Linked DNA regions of Arabidopsis thaliana. The protein of the gene in region 1 interacts with the protein of each later gene in a pairwise test. Each region holds a gene or a part of one and is shown in the gene's direction. Other genes may lie near its edges.

Region 1 (7,684 bases):
TCAAGTTGATTCAGAAGTTTTCTATTGGTGAGGCCTCTACTTCTACCGAAGACAAAGCCATATATATTGATCTCAGGTACTGTACACACAAACTTCATATGTATTCGAACTCCTAAAGTGTTTGTTTTCACATTTTGTAGCAATTGAATTAGAGAAAGAACTACCGGTTATAGATGTATGGACTATGGAGTTTGACTAATTGTAAAAATGGGTTTGATTTGATTTTAGTGAACCGGCAAAAGTAGCACCGGAGTCTGGAAATTCACAGTTGACCATATTCTTTGGAGGAAAAGTTATGGTTTTCAACGAGTTTCCTGAAGACAAAGCTAAGGAGATAATGGAAGTAGCTAAAGAAGCGAATCATGTTGCTGTTGATTCTAAGAACAGTCAGAGTCACATGAATCTTGACAAAAGCAACGTGGTGATTCCCGATCTTAACGAGCCAACGAGTTCCGGGAACAATGAAGATCAAGAAACTGGGCAGCAACATCAGGTTGTGGAACGCATTGCAAGAAGAGCTTCTCTTCATCGATTCTTTGCTAAACGAAAAGACAGGTAAACTAAACTCCGAAACTGTTTTGTGCTTGGTTATGCTTTTTCTAGGCCGCTCGTCAAAATGTATGCATAGATTAGGATCAAAGTTTCTTAAAAAAGTTATATGTAAAAATAGCTAATAATTACCATATTAAGACTTATTCGAGTTATTCTAGGAATCCCACATCGGATTAGAAGCGTATTACCAATCAAGTTTAAGTTGAACATTCATGAAATTGAACATAGGGTGGTCCTAGTATGTTTATGAATTATGATTCCTAGAGTAAGATTTCGAGATGTGACTCAAGTGTCATCATTTATAAAGAACATGTAAAAAATCTTACAAGTTACAATGAAATTCGAGATGGGACCTAGAGTAGTATATAAGAGATATGAGTCCATCATCTATGTGTCCTTGATCTAGGAAAATTATTAGTAAAATGTCGAGAAATTTCTAGTTAAAAAACACTAACTAAGAGTTCTTTGTAAATCAAAACTTCAATATCTACTTTGTCTTAAATGTTGATTAATTGTTTTGATTTCAGGGCTGTGGCTAGAGCTCCATATCAAGTGAACCAACACGGTAGTCATCTTCCTCCCAAGCCAGAGATGGTTGCTCCATCGATAAAGTCAGGCCAATCGTCGCAACACATTGCAACTCCTCCAAAACCAAAGGCCCATAACCATATGCCGATGGAGGTGGACAAGAAAGAAGGACAATCTTCCAAAAACCTTGAACTCAAGCTTTAGGGCGTATAAAATGCACGATCGAGTTCACGTTTCTAGTTTTCACTTATTTAGGATTTGAACCCAAATACCCTTTTATATTTTCTTCCATTACTTTTGACCAATTTAAGTTATTTATAGTACTGTATTACGTAGCTAGTATTTATATTTCAAAACATACATATTTTGATACTTGTTTTTTAGATTCTTTAATTAAAATTGTCATCTGGATTACCCTTTATCGAAATTTTTTAATCACCTGATATAATCTCACCAGTGATGGATTTGCGTTGTTAGTAATTTTTCTAAGTGGCAAAAGTATATTAACCTATAATAGGTTTCAAAGATATACATATAATGTTTCTATCAAAGATATTAGTATAATATTTTACCACATGATCGAAATCTCACCAGTTATGGATTTGCATTGAATGTTCTAGCGATTGGGCTGGACCGTCTCAGGAACCCAACCTTAATGAAAAAACATCGTCTCATTGATTTTAGGTCGTTAAGTCTGTTTTGCCCTTGTCTTATCCCGTAATTACGAAATTAGCCTTCTACCATTTCCTCTGTCTGCTTCTCTCTTGCCGTTTTCTAAAACCCTAAAAATTTCTGTTGAACCCCAAACATTGAAGTTTATCTTTCTTTTTCATTGTTCGATCTCAAAGCACAGAGATTGCTTAAACCTAACTGTCTCAGTTCTTTTAAAAACAGTCATCTCTCACAAAACTCTCTTAACCCTCTTCATATGCTTTGAGAAAAAATGTCAAAGATAAAGCCTTTGAGTAAATCATCGCAGGACTTGAGTCTTCTCACATCTGATATCGCATCATTCGCTTCTTCTATTGGCTTAGCTTCTGCTCTTCCTTCTTCGGGTTTCAACGACACTGATTTCCGAAAACCAGCTAAATCCAAAACCCAGAAACGGAAAAAGCCTAAGAAGGATCAGCAACACAAGGATGAAGATGAAGAAGGAGAGCCAAAATCGAACATTGGGAATGAAAAGGGAAAAGATTTTGGAGCGAGGAAGCAAAACAAAGATGCACCGGTGAAGCAAACGTTACAACCGAAGCCAAAGCCTGGATTCTTATCGATTGATGATGAGAGTACTGGGTACAAGAAAAAACGTTTCGATGAATTCAAGAGTTTGCCTAAGTTACCATTGGTGAAAGCGAGTTTATTGAGCTCTGAATGGTACAACGATGCAGCTGAGTTTGAGGAGAAGGTGTTTGGTGGCCGGAAAGTGGCGGTGGCGAATAAGGAGGATTTTAAGGGTGTGGTGGAGAAGAAGAGAGAATTAGGAGAGAGATTGATGTGGCAATACGCAGAGGACTTTGCAACTTCGAAAGGAAAAGGTGGAGATATGAAGATGGTGATTTCTGCTCAAAAGTCTGGGACAGTTGCTGATAAAATCACTGCCTTTGAGATTATGGTTGGAGAGAATCCCATTGCAAATATGAGATCTCTTGATGCCTTATTGGGTATGTTTCTGGTTTTGTTTTTCAATGGTGAAATCCTCTGTAGCATTTTGTTGATGTCTTGTTCACATTATCTACTCTGTTCATTGCAGGAATGGTGACCTCAAAGGTTGGAAAAAGATTTGCATTTAAGGGTCTTAAGGCTCTATCAGAAATTTTGATCAGGCACATTTTTCTTACTCACACAATGAGCTATGGATTTATGTGTCAGTCTTGCATCTTTTTCTCATTGACTGAGGTTTTTTAAATTCTTTCTTCAGGTTATTACCTGATCGCAAGCTGAAGTCACTTTTACAGCGACCTTTAAACATCATTCCGGAAAATAAGGATGGTTACTCGCTTTTGCTGTTTTGGTACTGGGAGGATTGCTTGAAACAGAGGTAAAGATCTCAAATCATGCCATGAGGGATGTGTTTAATCACACTATGTCAAAGATCTGTGTCTTCTATCCGTAATTGTTCTGGGTCGATGATTCGTTTAACAGCTTAGCATGCTGACTTTGTAGGTATGAGCGCTTCGTCACAGCCCTTGATGAATCATCTAAAGATATGCTTCCAGAGCTGAAGGACAAGGCTTTAAAGGTATATATCCTATCACCACTCTGCTCGTGCTAGCTTGTTTAGTAGCACTGGTCTCCAGGTTTTGTAAGATTCTTGATGAGCTTTAATATTAGAGATTTGAGTATCATCAATGTAATCCTTCTCTGGATGATGCATAACGGCATGGTCCGTAGTTTTCTTTTAGCTACAGTGAGTTTTTTTGCTTGGTAACGTGATTCGGATCTTTCCTTCAGTAAATTTTTTCTTGTTTGGTTTCAGACAATATATTTCATGTTGACAAGCAAATCAGAACAAGAGCGGAAATTGCTAGTGTCATTGGTGAACAAGGTATTGTTTGTTGTTCATTCAAATATTTGTATCTAATTTAAATTTCTCAGTTGTGATCCCTTTAATTGTTCCATGGATTACTTTATATTATAGTTGGGGGATCCTCAAAACAAGAGTGCATCTAATGCTGATTATCATCTGACAAATCTTTTGGCTGATCATCCTAACATGAAGGTACGGCTATTCAACCTTCCTATGCCAGTTTCAGTATTTCGTTTATTAATTGGTTGTTTGGATTCTTCTCTTTGGCTCATGTAATGTTATTTTTTTTCAGGCTGTGGTTATAGATGAAGTTGACTCCTTTCTCTTCCGACCCCATCTTGGGTTACGAGCAAAGTATCATGCTGTATGTCCATTGTTCTCTCTAATTATGTTCACGAGAACCATTTTTCTTTATTTTCTTGCTCTTCTTTTTAAACTGATTCACGCTTATTGTCGTCTAAAGTATTGTCTTTGATTTGAATGGGAAACAATTTTACTAAGACTTTAGAAAAGAAAAGAAGCATAAACTTATCCATGTTTAGCTTTCTAAACAATGCTCATTAATCTTTGTAAATTTCACAGGTTAACTTTTTGAGTCAGATCCGATTGAGCCACAAAGGAGAGGATCCAAAGGTGGCAAAACGTCTAATTGATGTATATTTTGCCCTGTTTAAGGTAACTGGCATTGAAGTCAATAAATTTAACATTTCCTTATGATCTTCTTAAAATTTAGTCCCTCCACTTCCACCTTACTTTCATGATCTCAGAGACTTCTGCTACCCCTTAGTGTTTTCTTTTGGGGTGGCGTTTGTCATAAGTCATAACATGAAATCTTTCACTAGTTGGATATTCACTACAGAAGTGTGTTTGCATTCTTGTAGGTTTTAACTACAGAAGCAAATAGGAAACAAGGTGCAGATGACAAAGGAGCCGCTGATAAGAAAAAATCCAACCCAAAGGACACAAAGCAAGAAGTGTCAACTGATTCACCTATTGAGTTGGATTCAAGAATTCTATCAGCTCTACTGACGGTTAGTCTGGATGTGTTTTTTTGGTGTACATGATGTATGTAATTTTAAAGTATTGAGACTTCACAGATCAACTTATGCTTTAGTACTCCGTAAGTGCAGGGAGTTAACAGAGCTTTTCCATATGTTTCCACTGACGAGGCTGATGATATAATTGAATCCCAGACGCCAGTGCTTTTCAAACTGGTAACCATTTAAAGCTTCATTATAGAAGTTTAGTTTCATAGTTACAACCGAAAATTGATATAGAAAATGGGATTTTGAATATGTAGGTACATTCGGCGAATTTCAATGTAGGAGTCCAATCACTGATGCTTCTTGACAAGATCTCATCCAAGAATAAGATTGTTAGTGACAGGTTTTACCGTGCATTGTACTCGAAACTTCTACTCCCCTCCGCAATGAATTCTTCCAAGGCAAGCTAAACTTTGAACCTTCTGTTTTTCCATGTTCCAATCACGTCATTTTATTCTTAGTTTATGTATGGGTTATAATAACCCTTACAATTTGGTAGAGCCCGGAATTGGTTTATGAATGTTGGCATAAGTACATTCATTTATTTATAATCTTGTGAAAGCAACTTATATTGTGACAAAAACATCAAGATGTCTGCCCCTGGCATGAACCATAGCATTTTCTTAATGACCGAGTTTACTAAGTTGCCGTTCTTAATTTGCAGGCTGAAATGTTTATTGGGCTTCTTCTCAGAGCCATGAAAAATGATATAAATATCAAGCGTGTGGCTGCCTTCTCCAAAAGAGTCTTGCAGGTCGGTAACATGAATCATATAAACCATCAACCCCGTCGTTTGTAGCTCTAGTTTCATTGACAATGATGACAATATTCGCATCATTGATCCTATACAGGAATCTTGATTCTTTTGTTATTAAATTTTCGATGTCGACACACTGTATAGTAAATTTTTTTGTCATCTCTCAAGTGTACTCTTTAACGATTTGAGTAGGTTGCGCTTCAACAGCCACCACAGTATGCCTGTGGATGCCTTTTCCTATTATCTGAAGTCTTAAAATCAAGGCCACCTCTATGGTAAGCTTTTTTTCGTTCTGTTAACCACATATCCATGGTTTTTAGTTTTTTTACCCAATGATACAATGGGTCCTTCTATTTACGTTGCAGGAAGATGGTGGTCCAGAGGGAATCAGTTGAGGAAGAAGAAGATATAGAACATTTTGAGGATGTGATAGAGGGAGATGATGTTGATCCCAATAAGAAAGCAGAGAATGACGAGAATGTTGTTGAAGTTGATCATGATGGTGTCGAAAAGTCAAGTAGAGATGGTGATTCTTCTTCAGATGACGAAGAGGCTTTGGCAATCAGGCTATCTGATGAAGAAGATGATAATGCTTCTGATGATTCTGAAGAGCTAATTAGAAACGAAACTCCCCAGCTTGAAGAAGTCATGGAGGTTTCTAATGATATGGAAAAAAGAAGCCAACCGCCAATGAGACCGAGTTCTCTTCCTGGAGGATATGATCCTCGTCATAGAGAACCTTCTTACTGGTTAGTTAATCTCATCTTTCATCAAAAGCTTAAGTATACTGCTTTTGTCCCCATTAAACAAGCGATACTTGGAACAACGATAATATTTTAAAAACTTTCTTGATATTATAGCCTTATTGGTTGGAACTGAATCCTTGATCTCAAATTAACAGTAACGCAGACCGTGCAAGTTGGTGGGAATTGGGGGTTCTTTCAAAACATGCTCACCCCTCGGTTGCTACAATGGCTGGAACCCTTCTCTCAGGAACAAATATTGTTTACAACGGAAACCCGCTGAACGATTTATCTCTAACTGCTTTCTTGGATAAATTCATGGAGAAGAAACCAAAGCAAAACACTTGGCATGGTGGTTCCCAGATTGAACCTTCCAAGAAGGTAAAAAGCTCATGCTTCAACTATTAAAGCTTTAACCATATTGTTATCTACTTTTCCCCTGTAACGTTTTATTTTCTCATCTCATGTTGCAGCTTGACATGTCAAACCGTGTGATTGGAGCTGAAATTCTCTCATTAGCAGAAGGAGATGTGGCTCCTGAAGATCTAGTCTTCCACAAGTTCTATGTGAACAAGATGACCAGTACGAAGCAGTCAAAGAAAAAGAAGAAGAAGAAGCTACCTGAAGAAGAAGCTGCTGAAGAACTTTACGATGTGAATGATGGAGATGGTGGAGAAAACTACGATAGTGATGTTGAATTCGAGGCTGGTGATGAGAGTGACAATGAGGAGATTGAGAATATGCTGGATGATGTTGATGATAATGCTGTGGAAGAAGAGGGCGGTGAATATGACTATGATGATCTAGATGGAGTAGCCGGCGAGGATGATGAAGAGCTCGTGGCTGATGTGAGCGATGCAGAGATGGACACAGACATGGACATGGACCTGATTGATGATGAAGATGATAACAACGTTGATGATGATGGTACTGGTGATGGTGGTGATGATGATAGTGATGGTGATGATGGTCGTAGTAAGAAGAAAAAGAAAGAGAAAAGAAAACGGAAATCTCCATTTGCGAGTCTTGAAGAGTACAAGCATTTGATAGACCAAGACGAGAAAGAGGATTCGAAGACTAAAAGAAAAGCAACATCAGAGCCCACAAAGAAGAAGAAAAAGAAGAAGTCTAAAGCATCAGAGTAAGAAGCAAGACTTGTTGCTTGCTATGCAAGGCTCCTTATGTTGAGTATTATTATTATACTGTGTAACGCTGGAGATAGTCACTCCAATTTTGTGGCGTTTGTTTTGTATTTCTTTCTTCCTAATGTTTTCATCTTTGAAGAGAATAACTGTACGATTATGTTTTAATTTAATCACTTGAAACTTTGTTCAAATATCACAAAAATTGAGTATTTTTAAAATCAAATATTGAACTTAGTGATGTGAATGTGATGGTATTATGGCAGGCGTGAGAATCCAAGTTGATATAGTGGTAATTGGGTAGTTAGTAAAATCATCTTTGATCTTTACTTGAGTGATATGATTAAGACATGCTTAGTTCTTATGTAACCTTAAATCTTACTTTTTTTTAG
Region 2 (6,433 bases), on another chromosome or scaffold:
CTATTAGTAATAATATATTTTATCTTCCGTTAATAAACTAAACATAGACTAAGACTTGCATTGCATGATAAACGTTGTGTTAACAATAGAATAAACACATACTTATTATATATGTGTTTATAAACACAATTAATAAACAAAAGAAATGACGACAAGCACATGGTTGATTGGTTTATATATTAGTCCATCACGTAACCAAATGATTGAAAATATTTGTAATTCATGAATAGCTACAACTGTAAAAAGAAAATTCTGAATTACACAAAAAGAATTTGGTTAAATTTAAAGGATAGTATATGCACAGAGACCAATCTTTTGCATTTTCAAATCGGTCAAAGCATCAGTTGCTTTCGAATCGTTGGAACTTGGAAGCTGCTAAGCGCTAACTAGAGAAACTTGTCTTTCGACCGATAAAATTTAAAGGATATGAAATTCGTGATACACACAAATTTATAAATAGCTGTTAACATTTACTGACCAAAATAATATAAGTTATGTGAAAAAGTTTGAAAAATAACACAATATTTTTTTTTGTTCACTAAAATATTATAAATTATGCGAACATTGAGTTTTTTATTTTGCCATTTAAAATGTTCACAGTGGCTAACATGATTGAAATCTTAGTAGTAAGACTCAAAGTTAGTCATTCAACTACCATAGTGAATCTTTTAACCACGAAACCACCATAATCAGTCTTCCTGTAAATAATCACCTAATCGGATGTTGCTACCTAATAAAAAATTATTCATTTAACTATAAAATTTATCTATCACAAAACGAAATTATATATCCGTTTGGGTTTACTAGAGAGGATTAATGATTATATTTTATGATTAAACAAAATTAGCTATCTGTTTGGATTTATAAACGAGTTTATATTTTACAAGTAAATGAGGTTAAATGTCAGTTAAGATTTATAAAAGAATTTAGATTTTATAATTAAACGAGATTAAATATCGGTTTGAGTTTAGAAAAAACGGTTAGATTTAAATTTTATAATTAAACGAGTTTAAATATCGGTTTGAATTTAAAAAAGAGAATTAGAGTTTAGATTTTGTAATCAAACGAGATCATATATCATGTTTGATTTATGAAAAACAATTAGACCATTCACATTGCATAACCTCTCATGTATGTCTTAAAGACTAACCATAGTTAAAATTAAAGACATTTCCTTTTGGATGTCAAAAATATCTTCCTTAAGATATTTTAGACATCTAAAAAATAAAATGTTTTTAATTTTAATCATGGTTAGTCTATTTTTACCATGGTTGGTCTTGGAGACATTAATAAAAGATTATGCAATGTAGATGCTTTTAGTATTTAGAATGGAAGTGAAAAAAAGAATTCATCGTAAAGATGAACTCAAGAATTGTTCGATAATATATGTGTTATTTTCAAAAATACTTTAATTTATAAATAATGAATATTTGATATCTTTTAAGTAAATAAAAAATGTGGTAAAATGAAAATAACTAAACAAAAAAAAACTTGAAATATACAAGGGATTGGGAAATGTCATGCATAAGATACTTTGGGGTTTGATGACATAGATGAATAAAGATTTTGAAGAACACATGCCGGTTAAAGCCTAAATAATTCGGTTAAACACTCGCAAATTGGATTTTTGGTTAAACCAATTGGTAGACGTGTCAAACCTAAACCTTCCATTGCGCTAAGACGTTTCGAAACTCACAAAGATAAACCCTAAAACAATAAACTTTTCCTCAGACATCAGCCTCGGCGACCACGACAACAACTTCATTTTTTCTCGTCGAGTTTTTTTCTGGGAATTGCAGGTAATCTCTCGTTAACGTGCCCCTCTGGTTTCTCAAATTTGGGAACTCTGTTTTTGTTCTGTTCTGGGAAAGTAGAACAATTCGAATTACGGTTCGACCGAAGTCAAACCGGGTTTTGTCCGGTTAAATAAATTGAAAGAAAAAACAAAGGAACACTGTAATAAAAACCCTCTCCTAAAACCCTAATTTCTTCTTCTCTCCGTCTTCCTTCTTGTTGTTCCCGGTGCGATTTCTTTCATTTTGATTTCGATAGTTTATTCTTCTCCTTGTTTTCACTGTTTGTGTGATTGATTCTCTCCATGAATTGATAATTCTTACACTATTGTCTTTTAGCTCGACTCTTAAACTGATTTGTTCTTGTTACCATTGATGGTTTTAATTGCAGGTGGATTTATCAGAGTGTTGTGCTAACAAATGGGTGCCAAAGGTTCGATTTTTATCCAGTTTTTGGATTTATATTGTAATTAGAGCTTAAGGGATTCGAGATTGATAAACACTTTAAATCAAATGTAGATGATAAAAAGCGTGTGAAGAAGTTGAAATCTAAGAAACTAGAAGCTGAGGAAGAGCTCAATAATGTTCAAGAAATCGATGCACATGATATAGTAATGGAGCAGAAGAGCGATAAGAAGCGTGGGAAGAAGGTGAAATCTAAGAAAGCAGAAGCTGAGGAGCATGAAGAAGAGCTTAAGAGGCTTCAAGAAAAGGTGAGTCATCTATGAAACATGTTTGGTTGCGATATTGTAATGATATATTAGTGGAAAGTTGAGTTTTTTTTTTAACTTTACGGATTTTTTTGTTCCGCAGGATCCTGATTTTTTTCAGTATATGAAAGAGCATGATGCAGAGCTTCTAAAGTTTGATGCTACTGAAATTGAGGTGAGTTTTGTTAGTTTGTATATGTTGAGTTTGTGACTCGACTTCCAGTTGTGTTGGAAGCTTTTTGTCTTAGGGATTCACATTTTGTAGGATGATGCTGATGTTGAACCTGATACTGACCTGGAAGACACTGAAAAGGAAGGTGATGATGAAGCAACAAAGATGGAAATTGCAAAGAAAGTGCACGTGCAGAAAACGATTACAGCATCGATGGTTGATGCATGGAGTAAATCAATCGAAGATGAAGCGAAGCTAGGTGGAGTGCGTTCTATCTTGAGAGCTTATAGAACTGCCTGTCACTATGGTGATGATACCGGGGACGATCAATCGACAAAGTTTAGTGTTATGTCAAGTGAGGTGTTTAATAAGATAATGATATATGTTCTGAGTGAAATGGACGGGATTCTTCGTAAGTTGTTAAGGTTTCCTGAAGATACTAGAGGAACAAAAGAGACTATATTGGAGCTCACAAACACTAGGCCTTGGAAAAACTATAATCATTTAGTCAAATCATATCTTGGGAATTCCCTTCATGTTCTGAACCAGATGACCGACACAGAAATGATAACCTTTACTCTGCGCCGCCTAAAGCACTCATCGGTTTTTTTAGCTGCTTTTCCTAGCCTCCTAAGGAAATATATTAAGGTGTGTTGGAGCAAGATAGTATTCTGTTCATGTTTCTTCTTTATGGTCCTTTCTTTGCTCACTTCATTGTTGCTCTTCTGCCATCTAGGTTGCACTTCATTTCTGGGGAACTGGTAGTGGTGCGCTCCCTGTTGTTTCCTTGTTGTTCCTGAGAGATTTGTGCATACGCCTTGGATCTGACTGTGTTGATGACTGTTTCAAGGGAATGTACAAAGCGTATGTGTTGAATTGCCAGTTTGTGAATGCTGATAAATTGAAGCATATTTCGTTTCTTGGTAACTGCTTCATTGAGCTTCTCGGCACAGATATCTCTGCAGCATATCAGCATGCATTTGTCTTCATAAGACAATTGGCAATGATTCTGCGTGAAGCGCTTAACACAAAAACAAAAGTACTTTCTCAATAATCTTCATAAATTGAGTTCTTCTGACAACAATTATGTGTTGAGAAAAGTTGCTGTTAACTCTTATTTACATTTGGTTGTTTTCACAGGAAGCATTTCGAAAAGTGTATCAATGGAAATTCATCCATTGCCTTGAGCTTTGGACTGGAGCTGTTTGTGCCTACAGCTCTCAGTCTGAACTCAGACCAGTTGCTTATCCGCTAGCCCAAATAATAACTGGTGTAGCGCGACTGGTTCCCACGGCTCGCTACACTCCCCTTAGACTAAGATGTGTTCGTATGCTAAACAGGCTTGCTGCTGCGACTGGCACCTTTATACCTGTCTCAATGCTTCTTGTGGACATGTTAGAGATGAAGGAGCTCAACAGACCTCCCACTGGAGGTGTTGGCAAAGGTGTAGACTTACGCACACTACTGAAGGTAAAAACTTGCGTGGTTGGGTCTTTACTAATAGAGTATAGAATGAAACTTTATCCTGCAAACTAACCATTTTGGATATTGGCTCTCTTTTTAGGTAAGTAAACCAGCAGTGAAGACAAGAGCGTTTCAGGAGGCATGTGTTTATACAGTAGTGGAGGAGCTTGTGGAGCATTTGTCTCAGTGGAGTTGTTCCGTTGCTTTCTTTGAACTATCATTTATCCCGACCATAAGGCTGCGTAGCTTTTGCAAATCCACGAAAGCTGAGAGGTTTAGGAAAGAAATGAAGCAACTCATCAGCCAGGTAATAAAGAGAAAAAAAGAGAAATGCGGTTTTACTTTATGTCTCTTGTACTTGCAATAAAAGAACCGACTTTATTGACTTGTGTGTTGATGACTCCTTCAATCTCTCTTTTGCTTTTCAGATTGAAGCTAACTCAGAATTTGTCAACAAAAAGAGAGCTTTGATTAAGTTTCTACCCAATGATCTTGCTGCTGAATCATTCCTTGAGGTTTAGTAACTCATTTCTCTTGATCCATTTGATTTTTTCAATTGTTAGTGATGATAATACAAAACCTATATTTGTTTCTTTCTTCCCGTCTTTGAAACTACTGCTGCATTCTTCGAAAATTTTGTGGGATACCACAAGTTGTTTATGATTACAGAACACATGTTTACTCCAAAATGATTGCAAACATGGTTTCAAATTATTTTTTGGGTCTTCTCTGTTCAGGATGAGAAGAAAGCAGGAAAAACCCCTCTATTGCAATATGCGGAAATTATCCGCCAAAGAGCCCAGCAAAGAAACGAATCGCTGGTGGAATCTGAGTGCGTTACATTCCTCTAAAGTTGATCACTTGTATATTTTTGTTGTATGACTTTGACGGATACTAATAATCCGTTTGGTTTCTCCAGTGTAATTGTGGGAGAGAACTCAGCTGTCTTTGGGAAAAACGCACCAAGCAGTGATGATGAAGATGATGAAGATAGGATGGAAAAGGGTGCTGCAGCTTTCAATTCTTCTTGGTTACCGGGAAGTGACTCCAAGTATGTCTCTCTTTCTCTTAAAATGCACACATATCGGGGTTTCATATGGTATAGCACCGCCAACGGTAGTGTATGGTGCGAGTAGGTTAAAAATTACTTCCCCAAATATCACCAAGTAATATAGATTAGGCCTGGTCGGGTCTATGGTTTTAAGGCCTTCTGTTTATTTCTTAGTACTTTGGACATTTATGGGTGGCTTTATCAACTTAAGAATATAGATAGGATGGGAACCGGGTTGTCTCCTACGCCTATAACGTAGATATTTTATCTGACCGTTGTGATATAACCTAAAACAACAAATGTGTAATTAACAGAGAAAAAGAGCCGGAAGAAGAGAAAACGAAAAAGAAGAAAAGGAAGAGAGGTGGAAAGAGTAAAACAGAGAAGAAGCAGGATGAGCAAGGCTTAGGAGAAGATGACGTTGTGGAGGATTTTGTGTTGAGTTCTGATGAAGAGGAAGAGGATCTGTTTGATATAGGAGGAGACAAAGATGAAGATGATGCAGTAGACGAAATTGCAGATCCTGAGACCAAGACATCTAAGAAGACTAAGGGCACTTATAAGACCTGGCATAAGGCTTACAAAAAGACCAAGAAGAAGAAGGCCCGAGTAGCTTCTTAAGTTTTTTTTGTATCTTCTTCGATTTGTATGAGAGTACTTTTCGGATGTTTGCGAAACAACATTAAACAAAATTTTGGGGAAAAGAAAAGCTAATATTTCAAATTTTATGATTGTACTGGAAATTTTTCATCATCATCAGAAAGCTTTAAGTTCAACAATGTTTTCTGATGAGCATTACGAAATTAAATGCACCAATTGAAATTTTATCTAACATGCATGTAGTATAGAAGGCGGCTTCAGTGATGTCTAAGCAAACCGGGAGGAACGGAAAAGGACTGGTTTCTTCATTAGCGTTGCAGGCCAGCTTTGATGTAAGCTGCGTAAAGATCCCTGCGTTTCAAAACAGTACATTGCTCATTATTAACAAAACAACGTGTAAATAATTTGGTGTTTGGGATAAAACAAACTTACATGGAGTCCTTGATAGCGTCTATGGCAGCTTGAGCGGGAAGGAAAGCTTCAACGTCGACTTTCTTGTTCTCGTTCTTCTTGTCTAAAAACATTGTTTGTTAAGTGAAAACTGAAAACAAATCATAAGCGAAAACAAAATTATACGTTAAATGCAACATGTCTCTGTAGGATACAGTCCTCAAAGAAGCGACGGATTTCAGCTAGACGGTGA

The links.
Region 2: the proteins of EDA25 (region 1) and AT2G18220 interact in a two-hybrid assay, tested with the Arabidopsis thaliana proteins (one study listed by BioGRID).

What each region holds. Positions count from the first base shown.
Region 1 is NC_003070.9:27,267,936-27,275,619, reverse strand, and holds EDA25 (CCAAT-binding factor), read left to right. Parts: upstream 1-1,684; 5' UTR 1,685-2,023; coding exon 2,024-2,741; intron 2,742-2,830; coding exon 2,831-2,903; intron 2,904-2,998; coding exon 2,999-3,118; intron 3,119-3,243; coding exon 3,244-3,319; intron 3,320-3,556; coding exon 3,557-3,625; intron 3,626-3,718; coding exon 3,719-3,799; intron 3,800-3,899; coding exon 3,900-3,971; intron 3,972-4,189; coding exon 4,190-4,282; intron 4,283-4,488; coding exon 4,489-4,638; intron 4,639-4,737; coding exon 4,738-4,821; intron 4,822-4,907; coding exon 4,908-5,051; intron 5,052-5,314; coding exon 5,315-5,404; intron 5,405-5,599; coding exon 5,600-5,682; intron 5,683-5,772; coding exon 5,773-6,156; intron 6,157-6,308; coding exon 6,309-6,531; intron 6,532-6,623; coding exon 6,624-7,295; 3' UTR 7,296-7,528; downstream 7,529-7,684. Other genes in the region: JAZ6 (jasmonate-zim-domain protein 6), read left to right, coding at 1-76, 229-555, 1,080-1,284. UniProt on the Arabidopsis thaliana protein: Together with NOC2, probably involved in pre-ribosome export from the nucleus to the cytoplasm. Required for coordinated cell cycle progression during female gametophyte and pollen development.
Region 2 is NC_003071.7:7,926,041-7,932,473, forward strand, and holds AT2G18220 (Noc2p family), read left to right. Parts: upstream 1-1,974; 5' UTR 1,975-2,022; intron 2,023-2,184; 5' UTR 2,185-2,213; coding exon 2,214-2,226; intron 2,227-2,312; coding exon 2,313-2,506; intron 2,507-2,606; coding exon 2,607-2,678; intron 2,679-2,768; coding exon 2,769-3,323; intron 3,324-3,411; coding exon 3,412-3,714; intron 3,715-3,815; coding exon 3,816-4,145; intron 4,146-4,239; coding exon 4,240-4,446; intron 4,447-4,567; coding exon 4,568-4,654; intron 4,655-4,876; coding exon 4,877-4,971; intron 4,972-5,058; coding exon 5,059-5,190; intron 5,191-5,504; coding exon 5,505-5,811; 3' UTR 5,812-5,913; downstream 5,914-6,433. Other genes in the region: PPa2 (pyrophosphorylase 2), read right to left, coding at 6,099-6,141, 6,223-6,304, 6,396-6,433. UniProt on the Arabidopsis thaliana protein: Together with SWA2, probably involved in pre-ribosome export from the nucleus to the cytoplasm.